Rhinolophus ferrumequinum: one gene and its partners. The protein of the gene in region 2 purifies or fractionates together with the protein of the main gene of each other region. This does not show direct contact. Links are inferred from orthologs where the notes say so. Each region holds a gene or a part of one and is shown on either strand. Other genes may lie near its edges.

What was found.
Region 1: the proteins of ISG15 (region 2) and HSPB1 purify together in Homo sapiens (affinity purification with mass spectrometry; 3 studies listed by BioGRID, with this or other methods). This does not show direct contact. The link is inferred for Rhinolophus ferrumequinum from reciprocal best matches to the Homo sapiens genes ISG15 and HSPB1.
Region 3: the proteins of ISG15 (region 2) and FLNB purify together in Homo sapiens (affinity purification with mass spectrometry; 3 studies listed by BioGRID and IntAct, with this or other methods). This does not show direct contact. The link is inferred for Rhinolophus ferrumequinum from reciprocal best matches to the Homo sapiens genes ISG15 and FLNB.
Region 4: the proteins of ISG15 (region 2) and UBE2N purify together in Homo sapiens (affinity purification with western blotting; 3 studies listed by BioGRID, with this or other methods). This does not show direct contact. The link is inferred for Rhinolophus ferrumequinum from reciprocal best matches to the Homo sapiens genes ISG15 and UBE2N.

Annotation. Positions count from the first base shown.
Region 1 is NC_046290.1:92,474,042-92,480,665, reverse strand, and holds HSPB1 (heat shock protein beta-1), read left to right. Parts: upstream 1-4,395; 5' UTR 4,396-4,484; coding exon 4,485-4,854; intron 4,855-5,370; coding exon 5,371-5,434; intron 5,435-5,523; coding exon 5,524-5,713; 3' UTR 5,714-5,835; downstream 5,836-6,624. UniProt on the Homo sapiens protein: Small heat shock protein which functions as a molecular chaperone probably maintaining denatured proteins in a folding-competent state. Plays a role in stress resistance and actin organization.
Region 2 is NC_046292.1:227,992-234,375, reverse strand, and holds ISG15 (ubiquitin-like protein ISG15), read right to left. Parts: upstream 1,749-6,384; 5' UTR 1,613-1,748; coding exon 1,610-1,612; intron 1,154-1,609; coding exon 662-1,153; 3' UTR 588-661; downstream 1-587.
Region 3 is NC_046300.1:52,667,245-52,674,958, reverse strand, and holds the start of FLNB (filamin-B), read right to left. Parts: upstream 3,238-7,714; 5' UTR 3,100-3,237; coding exon 2,808-3,099; intron 1-2,807. UniProt on the Homo sapiens protein: Connects cell membrane constituents to the actin cytoskeleton. May promote orthogonal branching of actin filaments and links actin filaments to membrane glycoproteins. Anchors various transmembrane proteins to the actin cytoskeleton.
Region 4 is NC_046293.1:84,615,270-84,623,345, forward strand, and holds the start of UBE2N (ubiquitin-conjugating enzyme E2 N), read right to left. Parts: upstream 3,360-8,076; 5' UTR 3,356-3,359; coding exon 3,326-3,355; intron 1-3,325. Other genes in the region: COPII coat assembly protein SEC16-like, read right to left, coding at 3,360-3,776. UniProt on the Homo sapiens protein: The UBE2V1-UBE2N and UBE2V2-UBE2N heterodimers catalyze the synthesis of non-canonical 'Lys-63'-linked polyubiquitin chains. This type of polyubiquitination does not lead to protein degradation by the proteasome.

The DNA of each region.
Region 1 (6,624 bases), on a different chromosome or scaffold from region 2:
GGACACACCCCCAGTTTGGGTGTCCCAGCTGGCATCCCCCACCCCCAGCCTCCCTGAGATGCTCTCGGAAGCCCCCTGGCCTCTCACCAGCCTTTCTCAGCTGAGGGTGTATTCAGCAACTCAATCGTAACACCAGACACGTGCCCTTCCTTCTCCAGGCCCCCCCTCCACCTGAGAAAGGCTCTCAGGACATGAGATATGAGGGTGCTTCAGCTACAGGGCCTCCCACCTTCGGGGGTGCCACACCTCCATGTCCTCCCTCAACCCTTCCCTCTACTCACCTTATATACACCCCCTCCGGCAGCACTAGATGGCAGAGCGGGCAGTGTAGGGGACCTGGGGGGTGGTGGGGGAGTGGAGGAGAAACTGTTGATTCATTGTGCTGGAAGGAGTCTTAGGGAACATCCAGTCCAATGGTCTCATTGTACAGATGAAGAAAATGAGTCACGGGAGCCGGCTGCTGGCCAAGGTCAGAGTGAGAGACATGCAGGTCCCCAGGCTCCCAAGCTGACAGATTGTTTCTGATGGACAGAGGAGTGGGAGGGGCTAGAGGATGGGTCTCCTCCCACCTGGCCCTTCCTTGGCACTCCATCCTGTGATGGAGGTGAGGTAATCCCAAGGCCAGCCAGAAGCCAGAGGCCTACGGGGTGGGCAGGCTGGAAATGGGTTTTTGGAATAGATTCCTAGAGGGACAGTGTCTAGACGTTTCCAGAAAGACCTAGTGCCCCCCACCCCCATGCGCTCTAATTACTGCTGCCCACATTTTCAGTTCCCAGCAGGCCCAGCAACCAGCACAATCCGTCAGCTGTCAGGCTTCTCCAGGGAGTTCCTGCAGCTGCCTGAAGACTCTCGAACTTTCTCTGGGGCTGAGCCAGGAAAGGAGGGCCTGGCTCAGCCACAGTTGGCAAAAGCCAACCAAGGGTGTGACTAGTGTGGCCAAGTGCCAGGCTGGGAGGCTGTTCTTGCCAGGCTGGGCTGCAGAGTACCTCAGACTTTGGGGCTAGGGATGAGGGGAGGGGCCCCTGATTAAGGAATCCCAGACCCCGCACTGCCCACTTCCCCTCACCACTCACCCTGCCACCCCCACCCCTGTGGCTTCCGGGAAATCCCTGGGGGTGGAGTCAGTTTCCTCTTCACCCCAGAGAAACTACCCCAGGCAGCTAGAGCAGAAGATTGTCAAAGAACATTTGGGCAGGTGGGCAAGTGTGGGGCTGATATCCAGCCCTTGCTCCTCTTGCCAAGCCCTATGGCTGGTTTCAGGGTGCAACCTCCTAGAGAAAAGGCACCTGGTCTGAAAGGACCCCAGAGAGTCTGGCCCAACCCTCCCTGTCCCGACAGGCAACACCTCACCCTGCACCGAGAAGCCCACAGCCCACAGGCCTCCCTGGACTGCCTGGGAAGTCTCCCCCACCGGACAGAGGATCAGGAGGCCTGAATTCCAATCCTCCCCACCCCCTGACCAGCTTTGCCACCTTGGGCAGTTCTGACCCTCAGTTTTCTCATCTCAGTAATGGGACTCTAATAAGATACCTGGATACGCTAGAAAGTTCATACAACTGCATAATTCTCATTAATCTACGTTTCGATATCCAAAAGTAAAAGCCCTCTTCCATTAATAATGATTAATACTTAATGAGCACCAGGCACTTCATGTGCTTAGCTGTGTTTGGGATTCACCACAACCCTGCAAGATGGGCGCGTTTTTGGCCACGTTTTGCAGCTGGGGACATGTAGGCTCAGAGAGGTCACCAGGCCAGTGAACAGCAGCACCCAGATTCAAGTCCATCCTTGTCTGACCTCAAAACCCAGTTTCTCCCACACCCCACCCCCTCTTACCATGACCCAGAGCCACCCATGTCTCCTTTGTTGTTACTGGCAGGGTGCCCTAGAGTCTCTCGAGAACTGGCCATTTGAAGATGGATGTGAATTCTCTGTTCTGTGTCCCCCACCTGCCGTGGGCAGAGGGATGGAGTTATTGCACAACTTCCCTGGCTGGGGCAGTAGGATGGATCCTACCTGCCTGGTGTCAGGCAAGATGAAGGGAGCTTGTGCCTACAAGCCCTGGCAACCAGCCAGGCAGCCTCCACCCAGAGCGTGGCTGGGCCTGGCAGGGCCACACTTGAAAGCATCCATGACCACACCTGCCAGCTCCTTCTAGGGTGGGGCACCTGCACTCCAGTCTGAGCCAAGGTGGGCAGGCAGGGGCGGTGAGGGCCCTCCCGGCTCCTGAGCTCATCCTGACTTTATAGAGGTGAGGACGGGTGGGGCTGGGAACGCCAGGGACCAAAGACCTGGGGCTTTCTGAAGCTGAGACCCTTGGGGGGCAGCCAGGAGCTCCCAGCTGAGACCTACTGATCCAGCAAGGGAAATGGGGCAGAGGTGTCTGCCCCAGGGGTGTCTGCCTCCCACCCCTGGCCCAAGAGAACCCCAGGTGCTCAGAGGCTTTTCCAGAGGTGACATCAGATTCATGGTCCAGCCCCAACTCTTTCCTCATGGGGTGCAGGTGAGTAAGAAGGAAGGCATCCAGGAGCTCTCTCTTGAAGAGGAAATTGAGGCTCAGAGAGGGCATGAGACTTGTTGTTACCCCCAATTCATTGAGGTGAGCGGCCTGGGGTCTAGCTTCCAGCCCCTCAGATGTCCTGAGCAGGGCAAAGCCCCTGCAGCACTGACAGAGTATAGCCTCAGCCCCAGAAAGGGGCAGCAACATGGTGGGTCTCAGAAAGAGAGAAGGCAGGGAAACACCAAGATAGGAGCCCCTGAGGGTAAGAGCCCCAAGCACTAGAGAGGCAAGAGGCTTACTGTGCTGCTGTCTTACAGGAGATAGTGGCCAGTCACTCTGAACCTGTTTCTTCATCTAAAAAGGAAGGATAATAGGACATGGCAGCAGAAGGAAGGCTGGACCAGGATCATGCCTGTGAAGGAAGGAAAGAGGGGACGTTAGGATTATGGCAGGAGCTTAGGGACACCACCCTCTCCAAGCAATGGAAGATGGAGACCTGGATCCCATAGAGGGTCAGATAGGAGGGGTCAAGGGGCAGGCCCCAGGCTCTAAGCAAGAGTGAGCAAACTGTACCACCTGGAGCCCCCTCTCCCTTTGTGCTGTGGGAATAAAAAACAAAAGGGGTTTTGAGATCATGATCTGCAAAAAGGAAAACTGAGGCCTAGAGAAAGGACGGGCCTTGCCCCAAATCACACAGTAAGTCAGTGACAAACCTCAGAGTAGATTCAAGGTTGCTGCATTTCAGGCTTCCTGTCCTCAAGGAAAAATAGATATAATGCGGAGACTGACAATAACCTTCCTCCTCACCTCTTCTCAGCACTAGGACCCAGGTTCTCATCTGGGCCAGCCCCACTGCTGAGGGCAGGGGGGAAATGGCCAGACCCACACATACCACGTTTCCCGGAAAATAAGACCTAGCCGGACCATCAGCTCTCATGCGTCCTTTGGAGCAAAAATTAATATAAGACCCAGTCTTATTTTAATATAATATAAGACCGGGTCTTAATATAAGACCAGGAATATAATAATATATAACATAACATAATGTAATATTAAAACAATACCGGGTCTTATATTAATTTTTGCTCCAAAAGAAGCATTAGAGCTGATGGTCCAGCTAGGTCTTATTTTCGGGAAAACACGGTACCACCGCCTCTGCAATAGGGATGGGTACACATCCTCCTTCTTCCTCCCTCTCTTCAATTCCAGGTAGATAATAACAATAATTATCATGTACCAGGCCCTGGGCTAAAGTCTATGCTTGCATTAAGTCACGTAATCCTCACACCAGCCCAATGGTGTAAGCATTATTATCATCATCCATTTTCTCCATTTTCTAGATGGGGAAACTGAGGCACACAGAGTCTAACTTGCACAAGTTCTTCCAAGTAGTGGCAGAACCAGGATGTGAACCCAGGCAGTCTGGCTCCAGAGCCTACACACCTAAAACCACACCAGACTGCTTCTTAAAACGTAATTTTACAGGGAGTGCCCTTCTAGTTGCTAGATGAGATGCTGCCCCATTCCTGAAGTGCTTAATTAAAGCCACTTAGATCTTAAAAAAAAAAAAAAAAGACATTATTTTACAGACACCCTGTGGTTCAAATGCTGGCTCTGCCACTTCCTAGTTGTGTGGCCTCTCTCAGCTTTGTCCTCCCCGACACAAGAATGGGACTCTCCTCAGCCCGCGGGCCAGCGCTTTAGCGCCCAGGCCTGTCGGGCAGTGGTCACTGTATCAATATCGGTGCTCCAGTCATTTGTTTGGTTATTTGAACGAGAAGGTTCCAGACGTGGGAAGTCTTCCTTGCCCCGCCCCTGCGCCGGTATGCAGGGGGAGGGGCTGCCCCCAACCCGTCATTGCCATTAATAGAGACCTGAAGCACCGCCTGCTAAAAATACCCGGCTGGAGCCCCATAAAAGCGCTTCTTGCTCCAACGCCCGGCACTTCTCCGAGCCTCAGCCAGACGCGCAGATCCGATCCAGCATGGCAGAGCGTCGCGTGCCCTTCTCGCTCCTGCGGAGCTCAAGCTGGGACCCTTTCCGCGACTGGTTCCCGCCCCACAGCCGCCTTTTCGATCAGTCGTTCGGGATGCCGCGGTTGCCCGACGAGGTGTCGCTCTGGTTGGGCCACAGCGGCTGGCCGGGCTACGTGCGCCCGGTGCTGCCGGCCGCCGCCGAGGGCTCCTCGGCAGTGGCCACGCCCGCCTACAGCCGCGCGCTCAGCCAGCAGCTCAGCAGCGGCGTCTCGGAGATTCGGCACACGGCCGACCGCTGGCGCGTGTCCCTGGACGTCAACCACTTCGCCCCCGAGGAGCTGACTGTCAAGACCAAGGACGGTGTGGTGGAAATCACCGGTGAGCCCCCGGCCCTTCGGGCACGGAGCGGGCGGGGCGGGGCGGGGCGGGGAGCGGAGCCCGAGCAGCGAAAAATTAAGCTTCCTGGCCCTGCCCCAGGCCTGTGTCCCCTTCTCTAGAATTGAGTTAGCGGATAGCTCCCAAGGGACCTTTCGGTCCTAAAAACGCCCCATTAAGGGAAGAAATGCCCCCCTTTCAGTTAAGACCCCCAACCTACAGATGACCAAGTTTCCCTGCGCTCACCCACTCCCGGGCCTGCGGTGGCTGTGAAGAGAATTTTGTCTTCCAGCGCTGTCCCCGCCCCTACACCGGGTCCGTGGAGGGGGCGTGTGCGCACGCCCGGCACTGCATCCACCACCCCCAAGTCCTAAACAGAACTCCAGAAGCTTCTGAGGACAGCCCCCGACCCCAAATCCCTCCACCAGTCGGGATCTGCCTTGAGTCCAGGCCGCCAGGTGGGGCGTGTTGGGCTGCGGGCTGGCCCCTCCCTCACCTCTGACCGCCTTCCCTCCGCAGGCAAGCACGAAGAAAGACAGGATGAGCATGGCTACATTTCACGGTGCTTCACTCGAAAGTACACGTGAGTCCTGCGCCCAGTGGTGGGGAGTGGGAGGGGGCCACAGTGACTTACCTGTGTGTGACTCTGGTCCTCCCTCTCTGCATGTCCAGGCTGCCCCCTGGTGTGGACCCCACCCTGGTCTCCTCCTCCCTGTCCCCTGAGGGCACGCTCACCGTGGAGGCCCCGATGCCCAAGCCAGCCACCCAGTCAGCAGAGATCACCATTCCGGTCACCTTCGAGGCTCGTGCCCAGATCGGGGGTCCAGAAGCTGGAAAGTCGGAGCAGCCTGGAGCCAAGTAAAGGCCTTGGCCCTGCTTCGAACCCCCCATTAGCCATCACTGACCATCCCTACCTGTCAGCCTGAATGCTCTTTTGATACCTTTATGTTGTTTTTCTCAAATAAAGTTCAAAGCAACTGCCTGCCACTGCCTCAGACCCTCGTGTGTGTAGAGGCCTAGGGGTTGGCACCGTCGCCTGGCTGACATTCCTTGCTGTGTGCAAAGCCTCATGCTGGGCCCTGTGGGTACAATGATGCCCATTACAGGGTATAGCCCTGCCCTCTGGCCCCTTGTCCATTAAGATAGAAGTAATGATTGTAACCAGCAATTAAAACTCCAAGGGGCAGGTGTGGGAGCTGGGGAAACCAGGAGAGGTTCCTGGCCCAGGACTGGGTACTCAGGGATTCCTAGGCTGGGGTCAGGTGAAGGGGGACAGAGCAGGGCCAGGGGAGGGGAGCTGCCTGGGAGCTCAGGGTCCCTTACTGACCTCGTCATTACTTTATTGTCCTCCCAGAGAGGGACAGGACCATGTAGATGGTATGGGAGGTATGGCAACTTCAGATGACTAAGCGGGGTGGGCCTCGTCAAAGGACCCATCCCCTGATGCCCATGCAGGATGGGCCTGGGCTCTCAGGCTGAGGATGCCCTGCAGACAGTGAGGGCAGAATGGCCTAGGTTTTGGTGGAAGAGAGGCAAAGACCCTGACGACGACGACGGTTGTCGCTCCAAGAGGGCCTGCCTTAACTGGCCCAGGCCGGAGCAGTCACACCTACCTTGGCCCTCTCCTTTGTCTGCCCTCACCCAAGCCACCCTCCTCATACCCAGCCCAAGGAGGGTTCAGAGAGAACTGGGGAGGGAGAAAGCAGATGGGGGCTTTAGAGCCCAGTGTCAGGTACCCAAGAACTTGAGAGACCCCACACTGTCTCTATAGAC
Region 2 (6,384 bases):
TTGTTCCGAACAGTCTGCGTTCCCCAGCTCACCCCGATGGTGATGTGTGTTCAAGGCCCTGTCCTCACCCCTCCCCAGACCAATGCAGGCTGGACAGGGCAGGCTGCTGGGGCCCTGGAGGGCCAGGAGACTGCACCCACAACCCCCAGGCAGGTCTTAGGGACTCACTTCCTCACCACTTCCAGGGGTGCTGGTCCCCGTCGGGACCTCACCTGTGGCCTTTGGGACCTGACCAGACCTTCCCTCCCCTGTGCTGTCTGCTGACCCAGATGTTGGAGGGGGACCATTTGTGCAGGGGCTGACCACGGCTCCACCTGGGGCAGGGATGGTTTCCATATGTGCTTCTTTCTCTTTCTCTAGCAGTTAGTTTTCCAAAGGTGTGGGGACACATGTTCAATTTCTCCAGGGTGGGCATTCACTATTTTGATCCCATCAGGCTGCTTCTTACTTGGTAGCCCAGCCTGGTAACCACCCAAGGACCCTGGGTCCCCTTGCCCTACTCCCTCCACCTCCCCTCCCCCAAGCTCAGTAGCAGGGGTGCAGAATGGAGAACTGGCAGATGCCAGAGTGCTGGGAGTAGGGCGAGGGCAGACGCAGAGGCAGCCAATTAACTTGGCATCAATTTTTATTAAAGCACTGGGTGGGAACTTCGGTGGGGACCTCAGCGTGGCCCTTCTGGCCCCGTCCCGCCCCCGCGCAGGCGCAGGTTCATCAACACGGTGCAATGGGGCCTGAGGTCATACTCCCCCAGCTGGTGCTGGTCCTCCATGGGCTTCCCCTGGAAACTCAGCCAGAACTGGTCGGCAGGCGTGCCCTCCTGCTGGTGCACCTGCTGCTTGAGCTCAGCCACCGTCTGCGTCCGCTGGACCTCGTAGGCTCTGCTGCGACCCCTCTCGTTCTTCACCAGAATGCTCAGGGGGTCGTCGCTCAGCACCACCAGCAGGACCGTGCTGCCGGGGCTCAGACCCTGCCCGATGAGGGTAGCCCTGTCCTGCAGCTCCGCACCGGACGACTGGGAGATCAGGCGTTGCTGGAAGGCAGGCACGCCAGTTTCCTGGGCGATCCGCTGCTTCAGGTCCGCTGTAAGCATGGAGTCCCTCAGGGGCACCAATAAATCCTTGCCACTCAGCATCTTCACCTTCAGTTCCCCTATCTGTGCAACACACGGAGCTCAGAGACCCTGGCACCAGTCCTCGGGCCTCTACACGCTATGTACTGGCCGCAGGGCAAGCCCCTAGGCTCCAGGACGCTGTTCCCTCTTCTGGGTCCTCTCCACCAAGAGAGGGACCCCAGGCGCTGGAGACGCACAAGGGGGTCCTCTCTGGAAGAACGGCCAGCCGCCCACGACCACCACTTTGCCTCCCTTCAGCTAAGATGCCCCCCAAGGGACCTCAGAGTTGGCCACTGGGCAGAACCCACCTTCCAAGACCAAGACCCTGACGTCGGGAGCCCTGTCCCTGCACCACACTTGGGAAACTGCGGAGCTCTGCAGCTCCACTGGTCTGGCACACAGTAGGTGCTCTGTCCCTCCCCCAGGTCCTGCCAAGGGGAGGGGGAGACAAGTCGACGAGTGCCCAGCCCACCTGCCCCACCTGTCAACCCGCCTCACCATGGCTGTGGGCTCTGGCACCAGGTCCTCCACAGGTAGTGATGAGCTTGCTGCCTCTCCGCTCGCAACTCCTCCCGGCCCTAACCGCCCAGCCTTTTTCTGAACATGAGCTACACACGTCAGAGGGCGGGGCGCCGTGTCTGAGAGCCAGTCTCACTGGCCCTTGAAGTCCTCTTCGGTTTCAGTTTCCGTTTCCCAAGGCTAGCCCCACAGCAGAAACAAATCTGAAAAACTGTAAGAGACGCGGAGGAGGTGAGCCCAGGGATACTAAATAGAAACCGCCCCCGTTCCCCCCCGCAGGCGTGTATGTTCAGAAACTCCCTACATATCCAAGTCCTTTATGTGATTCACAAAAGTCATAGAAACGTGAAGTAATGATTAGAGCGTTTCACTCTCCATTTACCAACTTGCAAAATTAGTAAACTTAGAAAGCACGATCATGGGTATTCGGGAAATAACATAAAATAGTGACACTCGAAACTACCCCGAGATAATTACCACTGGTTTTGGACAATATTTGTTCAGCTTGGGTGTTTTTTCTGTTTTTTTTTTTTTTTTTTTTTTAATGAAAGGGATGTATCTTTTCTACAAAAAAACTCATGGACATTATGGAGAAAGTGAAAAGACTATCCCAAAAATCGGAAAAAATATTTGCAAATCATATATCAGATAAGGGTCTAGTAACTCATAGTATATAAAGAATTCTTACAACTCAACAACAAAAATATAACTCAAAAATTGGGCAAAGGAATTGAATACACATACCTCCATAGGAAATATACAAATGGCCAACAAACATGAAGAGATGCTCAACATCATTAGTCATTAGGAAAATGAAAATCAAAACCGGAATGAGACACCACCTCACACCCACTAGCAAGACTGTAGTAAAAAAAAAAAAGAACAACAATAACAAGTGTTGATGAGAATGTAGAGAAATTGGAGTCCTCACATGCTGCTGGTGGGAGTGTAAAATGGTATGATGGCTGTGGAAAACAGTCTAGTCGTCCCTCAAAAAGATAAAACAGAATTTCATAGGATCCAGCAATTCCACTCCAAGATATACACCCCAAATAATTGAAAGCAGGTGTTCAAACAAGTATTTGTGCACAGATGTTCATAGCAGCACTGGTCACAATACACAAATGTTAAAAGCTGTACAAACAGCCAAATCCATCCACAGATGGATGCATCAACAAAATGCAGCCTAACCTTACAATGGAATACTATGCAGCCATAAAAAGGAACCAAGCCCTGACACCCCCTACGACATGTTTGGACCTGGAAAACATTATGCTCAGTGAAAGGAGCCAGACACAAAAGGCCACATGCTGTATGATTCTATTTATGTGAAATGTCCAGAACAGGCGAATCCACAGAGACCAAAAATTGTGGTTGCCAAGGGGAGGGTTGGGGTGGAAAGTGACTGTTTTATGAATATAAGGCCTCCTTTGTGGCTGTCAAAAATGTTTTGGAACTAGATAGGGGTGATGGCTGCCCAGCATCGTAAATATACTAAATGCCACTCAATTATGTAATTTAAGATGGTTACCTGTATGTTACATGAATTTCACCTCAATAAAAAACAAAACTGAAAAACCCTTATACTCCTGCTTTATTCATAACAGTGTATCATAAACATCTTTCCATATTAATAGATACTTTGTGCTAGTTGTTTTAATGGTTCCATAAAATGCAACCATTTAATGGTTCCCCTTAGTATAATGAGTCCATTACAGTACTGTGTAGAATGTAATTTAGTTAACCATCCCACATTGTTGAATATTTAGGTTGTTACCCAATTTTTACTATTACAAATAGCACATAACAGGCATAAGTTAGATATAAATAAAGAAAGTCTAATATAAAAAAGTAAAAGTGGAAAAAAACAAAATGTTTTGAATATGAATCTTTTTTTTTAACAGTTCAGGCATTTAATTAGGTTCTTCGTAATTAATGTAGACAACAGTTTGTGAGGATAAACCCCATTTGTGAGAGCAAACACAGAATGGAAGTAGCCCTGGAGCTGAGGAACAGCTTTGACTTTTGGCCGAGTTTGCGAGTCCACGGCTTTCTGATCAATTTTGCGCTGCTCTGTAATCTCATATTTCTCTTACTCTGTGTTGGAGATCCTGGTGTCTGGGCTTATGCAGCTTCTTCTTGAAGTAAGCATCAGTGAGATGTTTGGGGATTTTCACACCACTGATATCAATTTTGGTGGAGGTGGCAATGACAGATTTCTGGTGTGTTCTACGCAGAGGAACTCGATCGAGGGACAGAGGTCCAGTCACACGTAGCCACTGCTCAGGTGCTTCAGGAAAACCACCCTCTTGCCTCTATGGTGCCCAGTGAGGATGACCAGAATGGTCCCAGGAGCAATGCTAGCCCCAGGTTTTCTCACCTACTGACTGAAGGGCTTCTTGCCATGGCTCAGCGGCTTTCGAGGCATGTCTTCAGTAGGACAGTATCTAGGCATTTTGCGAAGTTTAACCACTCAGGTGTCACCATTCTTGTCGCCAACAACTGGTTTTGTGACAGTAGCAAGAACCTTCCCCTTTTTCTTTTCAATCCTCATTTTAGCTGATGAATACTTCCTCTTGTCCATGGACTTTCGGGAATACATAGCTGAGCGGGAATAGCTGCCGATTCCTCTGACCAGGACAGGGTTTCGGCTGCAGTGGGGCTTCCCCTCCTTAGGCGTTTTGGCCTTGAGGTTAGCCTTCTTAACCCTGCCACCAGCATCAGCCTGCTTGGCTTCAGGTTTCTTCTCCTTAGTGTCCGGCTTCTCAGCTTTTTCACCCGCCATCTTGCAAGTTGGGAAAAAAAAAACGCTGAATATGAATCTTGACCATTCCATGTCCCCCCCAAAAAAAACTCACAGGGCACCAAAATTGTTAACACACAAGAAAAAACCAAACTGATTTTTAACTTCTTTTTATTATTTTAAGTTTATATCTTGACTCATTCCTTGCATAAATAATGTTGGTATTATAAAAAGAAAACCACCAGCATTTTTTGAAACAATAAAAAAGAACATGCAGAATGTTAAAATCCCTCCAACCCCCCTCAGATGACCATTATTAAACATGGTTTCTATGTCTCCTGACTTCTTCCCCCCCCCTTTTTCTGCCTTCCCCCGCGCACTCGGATTCAAGCTGCTGTTTCTCAGTCTAGTTGTGTAGGACACATCTCCTTGGCCCCTGCTGGTATTATGAGCCTTGCGCTCCCCCCAGCTCAGGCAGTCGGTTGTCAGTCATCAATCCGCCGCTCACAGCAGCTCACAACAGCTCTCGCCAGCTGCCAGCCAGCCACTCACGCTGGCCACTCACAGTGGCCACCGGCCGCTCCTGGCAGCACACGGCAGCCCACCGGCGACCTTGCTGTTAGGAGCACGGAGCTCCAACCATGTGAGCCACCGGGCCAGCCCTCTCCTGACTTCTTTTTTTTTTTTTTTCCTGACTTCTTAATACTGACATTTAGTACTAGAATCTTCCCTTTCTGTTAGTTACTTCATCCCATGTCACCAATTGTCCTTCTGCTTTTGACAGGAGGAACTAAATACAAAGGCATTAAGGAGGCAAACTGACAGAACCTAGGGCTCACCTGTCAGTTTTCTGGGGCTGTCATAACAAATTACCACAAACTGGTGGCTTAACACAACAGAAATTTATTCCCTCACAGGTCTGCAGGCCAGAGGTCCGAAATCCAGGGGGACTAAATGACCAGGATTGTCAGGCTGGTGAAAAATAATCTTACTTTATGTGGCTTACAGAAGACAAGAATCATTTGAAATATAAGAATGCAGGAAATTTGAAAGAGGATGGAAAGAAACATACTATACAAATGTTAACCAAAAGGAAGCAGATGTGGCCACTTAACAATTTTATTAATATATTAATAAAGAAATCTTATAGGCAAAGTTTACTGGAGACACAGAAGGTCGCATAACAATAGGTTTTCACCTTCTCAGTAGAAGGTTGTGTACACCTAATAACATAGCCACAAAATATTTAAATTCTAGTCATAAACCTTACTATCCTATTTGTGAAATTACAACAGCCACTTATAAAGGGGCCTTTGGTTAATATTGGGGCATAGTTACAAACTAACTTAAACTTCCTGAAACCTTTAAAACAGCATCTATGACTTTTTTTTTATTGGCTTATTAATTCATTCATCTGGTATTTTTTTTAAAAGATTTTATTGGGGAAGGGGAACAGGACTTTATTGGGGAACAGTGTGTACTTCCAGGACTTTCTTCCAAGTCAAGTTGTTGTCCTTTCAATCTTAGTTGTGGAGGGTGCCGTTCAGCTTCAAGTTGTTGTCCTTTCAGTCTTAGTTGTGGAGGGCGCAGCTCAGCTCCAGGTCCAGTTGCTGTTGCTAGTTGCAGGGGGCACAGCCCACCATCCCTTGCAGGAGTCGAGGAATTGAACTGGCATCCTTGAGGTTGAGAACCCACTGGCCCATGTGGGAATTGAACCGGCAGCCTTCGGAGTTAGGAGCATGGAGCTCTAACCACCTGAGCCACCGGGCTGGCCCAGCATCTATAACTTTTAATATAGCTGATTGTATTTTCAGCCCTTCAAATGTACAACAGAAGCAGCAACTTTCCCCAGAAACCTGTGTAGTCCTGGCACCTGTGCCTGCCCATCGGGGTCCAAGGCACATGGCTACAGCCTACCGTCCTGCCACCGGCCATGATGCCACCAGCGCCAGAGGGATCTACACAAACCTTCCACAGGCTGCCTGGCCGTCAGTGACAGGTGCTCTAAACA
Region 3 (7,714 bases), on a different chromosome or scaffold from region 2:
TCAAGGTCAGAGGCTCAAAGTGTGGGTGTCCAGCCATTATCCCAACATCCCACTTAAAAACAGGGTGACAAGGGCTCTGTGTTCAGGGGCGAGGGACTGTATTTTACTCATTTCTGACACTGGCAGGCAGATGACTGAAGGCTCAATTTCAACGGCTGGGCAGACCCGGGTTCTAGTCACCATTTACTAGCTGGGTGACTTCCAAAAGCTACTTCACTCCTGTTTCCCTGTCTTTAAATACAGATAATACTAACAGCAATCGCAGTGATAACAGCAACCACGATTTTCTAAGCACTTGGCCAGGACTGGGGCAAGCGCTTCAGCCTCCCGGGGATTTGTTAAAGCAGATTGTTACATAGACAAGGAAACCACTCCAGGATTCAAGGTGGTGACCAATGGGGTGACCAATAGAACACATTTAACATGCCTCCACATTGGAGTTAGTGTCACCAACAGCACAACACAGCACAGCATAAACAGTGACTACCTGAACTGAAGTCCCAGCGGGATGTGACTTTTTTCTGAAGAGCCATTACCCAGAACAGCCCCAGAAGCAGAGGGAAGAGGCCTCAGGCATCGCCCCCACAGGAATCCTGGCACTTGGCACATCTCCCTCAGGTCTCCAAGGGCTGGAAAACCGGTTCACTGGAGACCTTTCTGGAGAGCAACTAGGCAGCCAATGACAGGAATCATAATTGTGGTCACGCCCTTTGACCCAGGAATGCCACTTCGGGGAATACAATCCAAGAAATAATTTAAAAGGAGAAAATAAAATAAAACAATGTAACTTGTGGTGGGAAGAGGTCCACAGCAAGAAGCTGCCAAGAGCCCACAGGGAAGGGGGAGGTAAACCTTGGAATGCCAGGATAATAGAGGATACTCTAGCCTGGGTGGGTTCAGGAATGAAAATCATGAGGGTTACAAAACTGTAAGGGGCCAAAGTCTGGAATGAGACCCCCAAGTTTAGGGCACTGATGGGAAGCTGGAAGCAGCTGCAGCCTCTGTAAACAGCTGGTAAATTAGGCAGTCCACGATTTTCTGGTGCTGTGGTTTGGGGTTTTTTTTGTTTGTTTTGTTTTGTTTTTTAAAGATATTTCATGTCATGTTTGGATACTCCTGGTTTACTTTAAGTTTCTTTGTTCACCTAATTAAATAAATACACAGTTTTAAAACAAAGAAGAAGGGATCCAAGTTGAGCCCAGCAAGGCCTTGAGATTCCTCAAAAGGAAGCTGGTTTCTGAAAAGGAAAGAATTCCAGAATTCTGAGGTTCTCCTTCCCGAGTTATAGGAGAAGGGCTCCCAAAAGAAGACGACAGCATGCTGCACAGCTTCCCTTTGCAGAGAAGCCACCCTGCATGGGGAGGCTGGCTGGGCGGAGGCAGCTGCTTGGGCCCAGGAAGCAGCCCTACTTGCTAGGACAGGTGTGGGGGAAGGCGAGGGAGAGGCCAGAGGAGACTCAGCCTAGAGGGAACCCCTTTGCTGCTGGAGAAAAGTCCCAGCAGCCACACCCACCGCCCTTTCTTCCTGCCCTGGGGTCACTATAAGGTCTGGTTTCCTCCGGAAGAGACCCCAGACCCAGGCCTGAGCCAGCTCCTCTCTGGCAAGAGGTTCACCTGGCAGAACCCACACACAATGTAGGCACACCCACGCTGTGTGCACAGACTCTCTCTGCACACATACAAGCTGTGTGTGACAGCGCACACCTTCAGCAGCCTTGTCTGTGACCCTCGTGGAAGCCCTCCACTAGCCTGGGGCATAGTGAGGACCTCACCCTCATTCTTCCTCCCCAGCGCAGAGGGAGAGGAACCCAACACCAACTCCCTCCCTCCTCTCAGGAAGACCCTGGTGTGGGGAGGGCGGAGAGAGGAAGGCAAAGTCTCCTTTAATTGTCACCCATTTCCTTCAATTCTCAGCTGGACCCTCTCTACTTCCATGACCTTGGGCCGGTCATTTAAACTTCTGGAACACTTGTCTGTAAAATGGGTGTAACAAAATCCCAACTCGGGGGATGTGTACAGATTGAGATACCTAGAAGGTTGTTGGCACACAGTGCCCACTAGTTTGGGCTCCTACAAGGCAGCAGTTCCATTACCACCATCACCTCTAAATTCTAACTTCAGCGGTGCGAGCGGGCTCATCCTGCGGCGCCGGGCCAGAACAGAGCTGGGAGCCCCGGGAGCGAGGACACACCCCCGCGGCTCCCCTTCCCACCTCCAGGCCCACACCCATTCCGGAGACGGCGGGGGAGGGTACCAGGTCCTGGTATCCACCTGGGCGGGGAGGCCCCAGGCTCAGAGAACCGTCCCCCCGCCCCGAGTCCCCTCCTCCGGCCTGAGCCAACGCCCATTAGGCGGCCGCCGAGCGCACCAGCCTGGGCGCCGCGAGTCGAGCGCTCCCGGAGCCCTGGACTAGGGTCCCACCGCGAGGACAGCGGACCGGAGATTCCCAATTCCCCAGCTCCCGCAGGGGCACCCCAGGTGCAAAGAAATGCCACAGACCCACTTCTCCCCGTGCGGTCCCAACTCCAGCCTTCCACCCACATAGCTCCAGAGACGCGCTGCTGGGCACACGGTCCGGAGCTATCACTCGAGGTCGCAGCCCAGGGGTTGGCACCTGGGAGGGGATCTAGTTCTCCTATGTCCCCACCTCACCCCCGGGGACCACGTCCCCAGGCCTCAGCGCTCCCACCCAGCCCCCGACTGGACGAGATGGGGGCGCGCGGCAGGCAGCCCCCGCCTTCCCCAGGGGCGCAGGCACGGCCCCGGGACGGTACACCCGCCCGCGCCTGGCTGGGCCAGGGCACTCACCGATGGACACAAGCTTGATGCTCTCACGGTCCAGGAACTCGAGCGCCACCGACACGTTCTCGAGCTGCATCTGGCGGAAGGTGGGCCGCTGGTGGTACTTGCGGTACATGCGCTTCTGGCTGAGCACCTCGAGCAGAGCGATGAGCCGCAACCCATCGCTCAGGTCGGTCTGCAGGTTCCCGATGCGTTTGTTCACGCACTTGAGGTGCTCGTTGCACCAACGCGTGAACGTGTTCTGCTGTATCTTCTTCCACGGCGCGTCCTCCGCCAGGTCCTTCTCGGTTACCGGCATCCTGGCGGCGGGGGGTGCGCAATGCGCAGCGAGCGGCCGGAGACTGGCGTGGGGAGGCCCTAGGACCGAGGGAGTGAGAACCAAAGCGGAGGGGCAGTGGGACTCGAACTCGCTGCTACAGGAGCCGCGACCGCGGTTGTTCTGTGGCCGCCTGTCCCTGACCGCGCGAGGCGTCTGGCCCCGCGCCTGCGCACTGAGCCGACCCGCCCCCGAAGCCCCGCCCCGTCCCAACCCTCCGGCGGGAGTTCCCGGGCCACGGTCGCCCCCTGCAGCCCAAAGAGGCCACTGCTTCCTACTGCCTTCAAGGCGTCCTGGGAATCAGCGCTCTCTGCTCACCGCCTCGGGTAAAGCAAACTAGGGGGGAGACATCCGGCTGCTTAAGGAAAAGGTCACCGGGGCCTGAAGTGAAGGGACGTGCAAAAGTAGGGAACTGGAGAGAATGGGCATGGACGGCAGCGTGGGTCGTGGGAAAGGGGCCTGCAGAGAGGGTACTTCGTCCACCTATAGGATTTTTTGGTTTTTGGTTTTTCTGAGCTCCTGCTGTGTGCCAGGCACTGTATTAGGCACTGGAGGACACCGTGAAGGAAACAGACAGTTTACTATTCATAGTAATTTAACTCATATGAATGATTATATATATTATCAGTCATCGCATTTATTTAGTGTCTGCTGTGTGCCAGGCCCTCCTTGAGCTTGTGAACCAATGGTAAATAAGACAAACTTATTCCTTAACCTTGAGAAGTTCATATACTAATGGGAGAGAAAAGTAAAAATCAACTGTCACAAACAGCTTAGTTGTAGTTATAGAAATGAACAGTAATTTGCATGTATATTAGTTTCCTAATGATGCTGTAACACTTACCAAAACTTTGTCTTAAAAAAAAACCACACACACACACAAATGTATTATCGTGCAGTTCTGTAGCTTAGATGTCCCTCTCAGGTCTCACTAAGCTAAAATCAAGGTTTGGCAGGATGCATTCCTTTCTGGAGGCTCTAGGGAAGAATCCATTTCCTTGCCTTTCCCAGCTTCTAGAAGCTTCCCACATTCCTTGGCTGTGGCTTCTTCCTCTATTCTTCAAAGCCAGTCACATTGGGCTGAGTCTTTCTCACACTGTCATCTTCTGGTTCTCCATGGTCACATCTTCCTCTAATTCTTTTAAGAATCCTTGTGATTACATTGGGCCCAGTTAGTTAATCCAGAATATTTTTAAATCAGTGAGTCGCAATCTTAATCCCATCTACAACCTTAATTCTCCTTTGCCATGTAAATTAATATTTCCGGTTCTGGAAATTAGGATGTGAACATCTTTGGGGACCATTATTCCGCCTACCGATACCATGTAATGAGCACCTACTCTGTACTCATCCAAGTTCTGTGCTAGGTGCTGGGATACAGTGGAGACCCAGGCCAGACCTCTGCTGTCAACAGCTTAGTAATTAGAAGGGTAGCAGCTAGCATTTCCTGAGAACCTGCTCTGCCCCTGTGCCAAGAGCTGGGCTAAGCAGTTTCTTTGCTGTTGGCCCCAAATGACAAGAGTTTAACTGAGGTTAAATGACTTGCTCAGGGTACACAGCACTAACAGGACTGGATTCCAGGCCTGTAGGAGAAGCACAGGATGCCTGGGCTCAAGAAGGGACACCTAACCCAAGGTTGGTGAGGGGAATCAGGCAGGCAGGCTTCCTGGAGGAAGAGGGGCTGTGCAAGATGGAGGTTAAGGGCTTCCAGCCCAGCAGTTAGTTGCCCAGGAGAAGCCAGCGATTTATGATTGTAACATTCTGTAACAGGACATTTGTACACAATGCTGAAGTGCTTTGTTCACAGCGATTACCTCACTCTGGAAACCGCTCAGAACAGCCTGGGGGAGAGAGTGTATTACCTGGCCCTAGCCCTGCCTGGCCCAAGGTAGGGACACAGTAACTATTTGAAGGCTCATTCCCCTCTTTAGTGATTAAGGGAAGAGATTTGCTGGAGGTCAACTAGTAAGGACTAGACAAAGCTCAATTTGAACCTGGATGTAACTCCAAAGTCTGCATAATGTCTAAGGGCCCTCATGCTGTTCCCAGCCTGGGTATTACCTTTGTCTCACTAGAGGCATTGTTGGTAACTTTTGCTTCCCCTATACCCAAGGTTCCTTGTATCTCAGGCTTCCCTCTACCCAAACTCATCCATCAAAACTTATGGGCCAAGTGTATACCTCCCAAAGGGACCTCCTCCTTATTAGGTGAGACTGGAGCTAATGTAATCAACTCAGCTCAATCAGCAGCTGTTAGTGTGCAAAGGTTCCCCTTTCTTGTAAAATATGTCTGCTTTCACCAGGTTTTGACACAAATAACTAAATAAGTTCTGCATATAATATCCAATCCACTTCACTCTGAGCTGAGAAATCCCTGTCTTAGGATGAGTCCTGTGATTCTCTCCAGAGAATTCTTAGGCTTCTTCAATAGGAAGAAACCTAAGAGTTCTCTGGAGAGCAATCTATGGGAGGAGAAGGAGACTCAAAAACCGTGGTGGAGGAGGGTACTCAGTGGCTTCAGAGGTAAGGAGAGGAAGAAGAAATGGTGTTCAGATGGCTCTTTATCAATATTTGATAAAAAATGAGGGCTTAAAACTCAAGATAGGCATTTCTGCAAGGAGCATTTTGGGTGTGAATTCTGGCTGTTCTGGCTTTGTGCCCTTGCACAAATTACCTTTGCAAGCCTCAGTTTTCTCATCTAGGCAATAGTGATAATGGAGATAAGCCAACTCCTAGGGTTATTAGATAATGCAAGCAATACTCCTAGCTGTGTGCCAGGCACACAACAAATGTTCAATAAATCTAGCTGGAAATCGGGCAAAATTAACCGACTTCACAACCAGCCCCTGAAAAAGCTGGAATTAACTGCGTTTTCCCAGACTCCAATCCTTCTCTGTAAGAAGCCATGTCTCCCCTCCATGTCTGTTACCCACAGATATTGACACCACCCTGCCATAGCCCTGAGAGACCCCAGTCAGAATAAACTGACAAAAAAAAAAACAAAAGTAGAGCCGTAACCCCTCCATATCAGCATGGACCTGACAACAGTCGCTGCGCAGACATCCACAAGGGACAGAGTAACTGAATTTGAAGCTAAACATTGGTAGGCAGGTTGAAGCCATGTGAGCCTACTTGTCAAAGATGCACAAATTGCCAAATCAGCCCATCTGAGTAGGATCAGCAAGGGTTCTTGTACTCAAGCAAGTGTGTGTCTATAACAGTTCCCCGGATCCCACCTCCATGCCTTCGCTCAGACACTTCCCTCTGCTCTCATCTCTCTCCTCCACCTTGGGAAAAGCATGTCCATCCTTCAGTCCCCTCACACTCCCAGCTTGTGCAGTCACAGTGCTTGTTTTGTGCTGAAGTTTAGTTACTGTTGCCTGCGATCAGTTGCTGGGGAGAGAGACTCGCCTGTGTCACTTTGCAGGCTATGGTCTGGGTTTAAGACCTAGAGAGCCGGCCCTGTGCAATAGAAATACAATGAGAGCCACATTGTAATTTTAAACTTTCCAGCAACACTTAATAGTTATTAAGTATTATTTAAAAAACAAAAAGAAACAGGCAAAATTAATTATAATAATATAGTTTAGCCAAAAGTAAAGTGACTGACTAACTGTCCCAGCTTGTCCAGGACTAAGGAGTTTCCTGGGATACAGGCCTTTTGTTTTAGTGCTAAAACCAGGAATGTCTCTGGCAAATCAAAATAAGTTGGTCACCTTACCCAATATATCCATTTATATATATGCCAACTTTGAAGTCTGATGTGTATTTCATTCTTACAACATATCACAATTCAGACTCGGCACATTGCCGGTGCTCAGTAGTTGCCTTTGGCGACTGGTGGCTCTGAAATTGGACAGTGCAGGTATTGAAGATATGCTTGATCTTGAAATAAACCAGTTAATAAGTTGGAGACCCATACGCTTTCACCAGGGTCCTGACCTTGGAAATCCCTCATGTGTGAAACCCACCTCCACTCTTCAGACCCGCAGCTCTGTTGGGGTCCCAGGTGAACGAGCATTCTGTAGTTTCTTGGCATCGTGGGGTCCACTGCTATAGTGGCATGTCAGGAGGTGTGGTTATTATCCCCATTTAACAGGTAAGGAAACAGAGGCTGAGAGAAGTAGTGACATGACTAAGGTCACAGAGTGACAGAGACTGGATACTAAGGAAGGGCTAAGAAAGGCAATAGTCCTGAGAAGGAGCAGGGACCTGGGGCTGCCCTGACTCTTTCCTTACCCGGAGCCGACATTAGCAATATACCTCCTGGGAGTTTCTGATAAATGAAAAACTATGTGTCTGTCTCACATTTAGCATGTAAGTATCTGCTGACAGAGCTGACACTGCTGTTATTATCATAGTTATGCTGATGATATCATGATAATATCATGATTCTGCTATGAGTGGACATCAAAGAACAAAGACTGAAAGTTCCAGATTTAGAAGCCGCTTTCCAAAGGGAATAGAGATGGAGAACCAGGACTTGCAAAATGAATTTATGTCTTCCCCAGTGGCATCTTTCCCGCAGGGTGGGGCCTTCACTGAAGTCCACACCCTGCCAGAAAGAAAGAGAAGCAAAATATAAATGAAAGTATTTG
Region 4 (8,076 bases), on a different chromosome or scaffold from region 2:
ATTCGTTTTGTTTTTTAATTAATTAATCGGTGGAATTAGAAACTCACTTTTAGCTTAGACATCGGCTCAGATATAATCTACTAAGCAGTAACAATGTCAAATTATGATATAGAATAACTTCTCTAAAACTTTCCACACCAGAGATTGATGAGCAATCATTCATTCATTCACCATTTCAGAGTCTACTTACAAAGTGTTCTAGGCATTTCAGCAATGCCCAAGTCACCCAAGAGTCCGTGCCTTCATGGAGCTTTAGTAGGAGCAGAGACAAAAAGTAAATAACACAACTTGTAGTCGTGGTTAAGTGGTAGACAGAATAAAGGGGAATATAGGGATAAAGAGAAACCATGGGGTAGATGAGAGGGAAACTGTGTTTTAGGATCCTTAAGGTAAAGTTTTCAGGGGATATGACATGTGAGCCAAGAACTGAGTAATATCACAAAGCAATGCAATAAACAGGGTGAAAGCTCGGTGACCGGAACAAGCAAGGTTCCAGTGTTTAGCGTACAGCAAAGCAATAGGGTGGCTGCTGCAGCGGAGCAACCCAAGGAGAGAAATGCAGGGGATAACCTGAGGTAGGGAGATCCCAGATGCAAGAAGGACTTGTAGCTAGGGAGGGGAAAAAAGTCAAGATTTTATTCGAAGTGTGATGGAGAACCTTTGTAGAGTTCTAAGCAAAGGAAAGACATGCCCTATTTTTTAAAAAAGTAACACCAGCTGCAGCTTAAAAGGAAACTAATACAGTAGCTCAGGCAACAAAGGAGGGAACAAAACAATGATTTAAGAGAGATGGTGAAATGTATCTGCTTTAGGATACATTTTGAAAGTAGAGTCTAGAAAATTTGCTACTGGATTGAAATGGGAATCCAACTGGATGAAGAGTAGTTCAAAAAATCATCTTTTATTTGTATAATTGTTACAGGTCTCAAGGTATTTTTACACATAGATTATTTCATTTCATAATAACAAGAGGCTGGGGAATGTCACAGTGAGCCAAGGTCCAAGTTCTTCCTCTTGCCAGTTTTAAGACCCTAGGAAAGTCATTTCAATGGGTTTCTAGACTATAAAACATATTGTCTACTTCTCAGGATTCCTGCAGGTATCAAATGGTTGAAGAATTTTGCAAATGTGAATAATGACTATTCTGAGATAGCACCTTATTAATAAATATCCAGTGAAAGACAGTACATTCCTGTCATTCAGGACAGTAGAGCAACCACCACCACGATATTCCACACAGAACTTCGTGCTGAGATTGTCAGAGAAGAGGCAAACTTTTAGTTCCAATTATGATATTAAAAAAATAGATATTTTCACTGATTATGGAAAAAACCTACATAATACAAGCATGGGCACTAGAAAAAACACTTTTATCTTTTAATTCTTCCTAGGAATTGGAGAAAACAATTCTTTTAAGCTATAATAGTATTAACCACCTACCTGTTTACAAGGTAAAATCCAAAATCACAGCAACTTTCATTAGAAAGACGCTATCAACAGGATACTGTAAAATTAAAACTGAGTTATCACTTTCTTGGTTTAAATAGTAAAATGTAAATACCTAGTGTAAATTACTGTGTGCGAATTAACTGAATTATGAGGACTTCAACTAACTGCCTTAAATCATTTTTGTAAGTTTATGAACAAGGTTCCACGGAACTAATTTTCATCCAAGGCTTTCATGTTACTGCAGAATATCTGCAGAATCAAGCAAAAATGGAAAAATATTTGTTAAGTCTTTAGTTCAGTATGTATTTTGGAGATTATCTTGAATGTCAATTTGTATTATGTACTTAGTCTATAACCTAAATAACAGTAAATAATAATTCAAGGATATTTATTGTACAGCTCTTCCACCCCTCATTTTCAACGAGAGCCTCAATAAACCTGACCATTGGAGCCATGTGACTGCATTATAACTAAAACCACACTGTAAGGACCTTCCAATGCATACAGCAATTAAACTGCCTTGGACAGAGTCCGAGACAAATCCATAAAACAGTACAACAAATTTTGCACTATGAAGGTTCACATTATTACACTCCAGCACACAATGACAATTCGTCCTACTCTGACTTCTAAGAATTTCTACCTTATAAAACGTCCTATTGTTCTCTAAATCAAGCATCTTTAGATCAGAGACACCCCCCATCTCATATATTTAATTGCGATTGCACAAAGCACTACATTTCATCATCTTTCAACAGGTCTTTCACTTAGCACGCATCTCGCCCAAACTTTTAAAACAAACTACATTAAATACATGTTCACCAGGTTATATCAAGCAAAATGATGCTGCAAGTTAGTCACCTGAACTCGCATATTGAGCAACAGAGATGCATCTCACTTCCTTCATTTAAACTGACCAAAAATGTCAAGGTTTTGTTTTGTAAATTGCAAGACACATTTCACATCTGAGGACTTGATATTATATAAAGACTTTACAAAACAAAGATGCCAAATTTTTCATGATTCCATACATGCTTGTCAAAGTATAGCATTAATAGAGTCAAAGAACGGTCTAATAATTAAAGGGCACAAAATCGAAAAGCAAAAGATTTCACAAGGACCCCTATACTTGCGCCCCCCACCCCAAGTCTTGTGTTAAACTATTTCCTCTGAACAGAAACAGCTCTTCAGTTTGCAAACCAGAGTAAAATCACTTCGCAGAGATAACGAGTGGAAACATATTTAAAGGAGAGGAAATCGCCGAAGCTGGAACAATCGGGTGCGGAGCCCCCAGGTCCCCGGACCCCGACTGCCAGGAGCGAGCATGTGCCGCCGGCGGCAGCACGCGCGGCCCTCCCGGGGCACAGGGCCTGGCCCGGCCTCACCCTCCCGGTTCATTCATTCTGAACCTGGGGCTGCCGCACCCCTGCGCTTCCTCACGGGCCGAGTGGGGGATCCGACACCAAGAGGCCGTGTCTGGCCACAACCTCCGCCTAAAGTCCGGGCCCCGCCGCGATTCCCGCGCGCCCGCGGCCTCTGTTCGGGGGTGGTCCGAGAGACCGCGGAGGCCCGCACCCCAGACCAGAACCCCGCAACCCCACCCTCCACCAGGGCGCAGGCCAGGTTGAACCCATTCGTAGGGGGCCGCCTGGAAGCCCCGGGTCCCCGCCGCAGGGCTGTCTCACCGCGGCCGGAAGTCTCCCCGGCGCCCCCTCCCCAGCGCCCGACTTCCCTCGCCGCCGCGGTCAGACCCTCTCCGTGCAGCCTCGGGCCTCCCAACGCGGGCCGCGGGCCGGAGGAAGCGAGCGGCCACGCCGCCCGATCCGCCAAGAAGGAAAGACCAGAGCAGGGAGCAGAGGCGGGCGTGGGAGGTTACCTTGATGATCCTACGGGGCAGCCCGGCCATCTTGTCAGATCCCGAGTTCGGCCTCTGGTCTCGACTCCGGCTCCGCTTGCCTCACGCACGAGTGGAAGTCCCGGGCTCCACTTCCGGGGGACGTTGCCGCGCCCGCCGCCGCCGCCGCCGCCACCAGCGTGGCCCCTTGGGAAATGTAGTCCCTGCTCGGCCGCGGGCCGGCTTCCCTCGGACCTGGCCCCCCCACACACACCCCGCCCCAGCCCCGGCCTGGAGGTGGCGGAAGTGACGCGCAGCGGCGGGGCAGGGACTTGGGGGAGGTGGCGTGGGGCGGCGCCGATCTCCGGCGCTGGTGAGTGATCCTGCCGCGCGACGGTGGGACTGGGCTGCCCACACCCGGCGGGCCTGATGTCCACGGCCACGCCCGCGCCGGTGGAGACGTAACAGAGGCCCGGCTGCCGATGTAGCTCATTCATTCATTCGTTCATTTCTTCATTCTACGTTCCTGCCTTGTGCGCTGGCGCAGCGGTGGACGACTGCGATCTAGTTGATCCGCTTGCTCCTGCTCAAAGGGAGGGGAAGACCAAACCTCGGTGGCAAAGCTCCCAACTGTGATAACTTGGGTCTCGCAAGTTATCCAGGGAAACTCTAGCCAGAGAGTTTTGATGTTTAAATGTCGCCTAAATCGGGCCTATTTGACACACTCCTTACACTCGGAGAAGGCTAAAAGAAGAGTTTGCAGATAGCTGAGGGAGAAACCAGGGAAGAATGGTTTCTGAACGCCTGGACCTGGTGGTTGTGACGCAGAGTAACTAGCTAGCTCGAGGAAAGTCCAAAGAGAGGATTAGAGAGCCCAGCGTAATCCCTGACAAGGATTACCCACAAAGTGCAGGGATCCTAAATGAAGATTAGAGTGGCGGTGCCTGAAAATGAGATTGTTGGGGAAGCGTTTTGCGACAGCCTGATGACTGCTTTGCTATGCGATGGTTTTTTGCAGATACTATTTTACTTCATCTTCACGGCAATCTTGAGAGGGAGACCCAGAGACGTTAACTAACTTTTTACAAGGTTATGCAGGAGAAAGTGGAGCTGTTAACTCCCAGGCAGGCCTGCCAAAACATGGACCCCTTAACTGCTTAACTACGGTGTTTCCTTAGCACCCGAATACAGACATAGTGAATGAATGAAGATGTGCCAGGTGCTATGTTAGGGGATGAGAATACAATGAAACTGACCCTGCCTTGCAGGAATTTAAGAGTCCGGTGGAGAAGAAAGACATGTAAACAATTAATTACAATCCAGTGTGTTAAGGGCTATACCAGAGATTCTTCCAAGGTGCTGTTTGAGCGCAGAGAGGCATTAATTGTTTGAGAAATCAGAGAAGGCTTCACAGAGGAGAAGGGGAATCCTAAAGAATGAGGTCAGAATCTAACTGACGTGGTCGGGTAGAGCATGCCAGGCATGGGAAATAGCTTGTGAAATGGCATTGAGCTATAAGGAAAAAACAGTGCATTAAATAAAGAACATGGATGCAAGAAACTTGTAAGAATAATAAGAGAAAACATTATGTGCGGGGCACAACGCTAAATGGTGACATGGATTATCTCAATCATAAAGCGTGTAAGGTAGGCTTTCCTATTACTAGCGCTCTTTAGATGAGAAATGAAGCTTCAGAGGGAATAATGAGAACTTAAAATAACCAGAAGTCTGAAGCGAGCGGTTCTGTGATTAAAAGAATCTGAGAAAATAAATAACGCTGGACAAGGAAACTTTCAGAATATTCTAGAGAGGGCCCAGGAGAATTCACCCTGGTAGGAAGACTGGCAGAGTGAATATTGGGTTAGAAGTGTGCTCTTGCAGTTATCTATTTTTGCCTAACAAACCAACTCAAACTTAGTGCTAAAAATGACAACCATCATTTATTTAGCTCTTGAATATGCAATTTGGCCAGGGAAGGCTCATCTCTGCTCCATGCTACATCAGTGTGGGCAGTCTTACTGCGGCCAGATCCACTTCCAAGGAGGCTCATAGCTGCCAAGTTGGTGCTGGCTGTTAGTTCCTCTCCAAGTGGGTCTCTCCTTGGGGCAGATGGGGCTTCCTCACTGCGTGGTGGCTGAGTTCCGAGAGTGAGTGTTCTAGCTAGCAACAGCAGAAGCAGAAGCTAAATCATCTTTTTTGGCCTAGCCTTGGAAGTCTCATAGCATCACTCCCACCATAATCTGTTGGTCAACTAAGTCACAAAAGTCCACCCAGTTTCAAAGGTACAGGACATGGACTCCACCTCTTGGGGAGTGGCAAGAGTCTAGAAACTGTCAGTGTGTGTGCGTGTGTGATGGGAGATATGGTTGTGGCCAACTTTGGAAAACAAACTGTTGTTACAGGTACGACATTTGTCAGTGTATGCTTACAAACCACCTGCTTGAGAGTCACCTGCCTATGATTCTGAGTGCTGGTTGAAATAAGCATTGCCAGCTCCCTCCCTCCAGAAATTCTAATTCTCTAGGTCAATGCTGAGGCTTGGGTATCTGCATTTAAACATTGTGAGTAATTTTGGTGGGTCCTAAAATTTGAGAACAAAAGATTTTGAATAAAGAAGAACAAAATGTATAAACAAAAAATGTTGCCATCTGCCTTCTTCTTGCTATTCTCTATCAGAATGGATAGTGAGTATCATACAGATTAAGAGTGTGGGGTGGCCAGTTGGCTCAGTTGGTTAGAGCCCCAGTGCTCATAACACCAATGTCGCTGGTTCGATTCCCACATGGGCCAGTGAGCTGCACCCTCCACAACTAGATTGAAAACAACTTGACTTGGAGCTGATGGGTCCTGGAAAAACACACTGTTCTCCAATATTCCCCAATAAAAAATAAAAAAAAAAAAAAAAGACTGTGGGGTTTGGAGCCCCAGGCCAGATCTGAAATTTGCCCATCCTTTGTTTTCTTCACCTATAAAATATACTTACTTTATTGTGATTGTTGTGAAGTTTCAATTATACATGTAGCTTAGAAGATGACGTAGCACTTAGCAAAGGCTATTATTTTTGTAATCTTGACAGAACCAGATATAGTTTTCCTTAGAAAACCAGATTTTTAAAACTTGACAGTATTCCCATTCATTTTTCCTCCTTAGGAGCAGCTCACACTATACTCATCAGGAAAACAAAATCTGAACTTCTGATTCATGAAAGTCTTGTAGAACAGGATATATTCTAGAAGGACAAGTTGCCACAGGGCTGAGATGACGTTTATTCGCAATTTAGAAAAGCTGGTTAAGAATCCTCATTACGATACCCATGAAATACAGACCAAATAAGGATATCCACAAAACTAATTGAATCGATTTCTTCAGGGGAGGGTTGCTGGGCGGGAGAACAGGTAAAAGGAAGATTTTTCACTCTATAGTCTTGTACCTTCTGGATTTTGAACCTATTCAAAATGTAAAATAAGAATCCAACTTACTAATGTCAACATTCTAAGAGGTATTCAGAGTTCTTTCAACACATCAAGAATGATATTATACACTCAAAACTCAGCCAAAAGATGCTGGTTCATGGTGTTGAATAAATTATAGTGACCATATAGATTCACTAAGCTGAACAGTGTGAGGCAGAACTCAGCTAATCAGTCTTCTTCAGCTCTTCATCAGGCCTCGCTCTCAGCCATGTTTCTTTCAGTCTCTCCTCCTGGACTCATAGTACAAGGTGGCTTTTAATTATGATATAGGGAAAGAGAAAGCAAGAAAGCTGCATTGGAGGCATTACAGGAGTCCTGTTCTATGCGACTCTCTTATTGCTCAGAACATTATTTTACTGCCTCCTGTTACTTCTCCACCTCTTACCCCCTAATATTCCGGGTTTGCTACTTTGGCCCTATAATAACAGATGCAAAAGTGCTATTTACCCTGCAGATAATATCTTAGGACATTAATACTTGAGCTCCTCAGAGTCATGGATCTCTTCCATCTCAGTTGTCACTGTATCCCTGGAGCTTGAGTGCAGGGCCTGCTCCCAAAAAATAGCTGTCAAGGGAATGAATCAACGACTGCAGGCTGAAAATAAACGCCTGTTTGAGAATGGCTGACATTGACTCATGATCCTTACGTAAATGATTACAGAAAGCACAGGATCTTTATATTCATCCCTAAACTTTTCAACTTGAATTCCTGGAGGATAACAGAGCTGTTTTTCACAGACTGTCTCACGCTTGGCAGAGACAACACAGAGTTGATCAATTTGGAAAATGGTAGATCAGTCACCTTTAATAGAAGCCCTGTTCAATTCATGAGCAATAGCGATCAGGCAGAAGTATTTGTTTGCAAGTACTCTTGTTTCTTGCAGCATAGGAAAACTGTTTCGTGGGCGATCAAGACAAGTATCTGTGAGAAAAGGGTTCATGAACACTGACTCAGGGAGGAAATAGGTGGAGGAGGAAGAAAACATTGCACATTGATTTTTTAAAAAAGCAAGGAACGCCTGCTGCCTCATATTTGTGACTTCAATGTAAACATCTGAGTACTTACAGTCTGTTACAGATCGCCAGCCTGTACACAGGATCAGAGCTGGGTCATCCAGGGTCATACCGGTAGGAGCTCTGTCTCGAGGTGGAAGGCTTGGAGAAAGATGAGATCCGGAAGAGTCAGAGTAATCAGGCTTACCTTGGTTTAGTGCTTTATGCTTTGCAAAGCACTTTTGAATCTTAGCTTACCCACGGAGCCTATAAGTGCCACTGGAGGCATTCTGCAGAGGCCATCATTGATTCCAAAATGTTTTTACA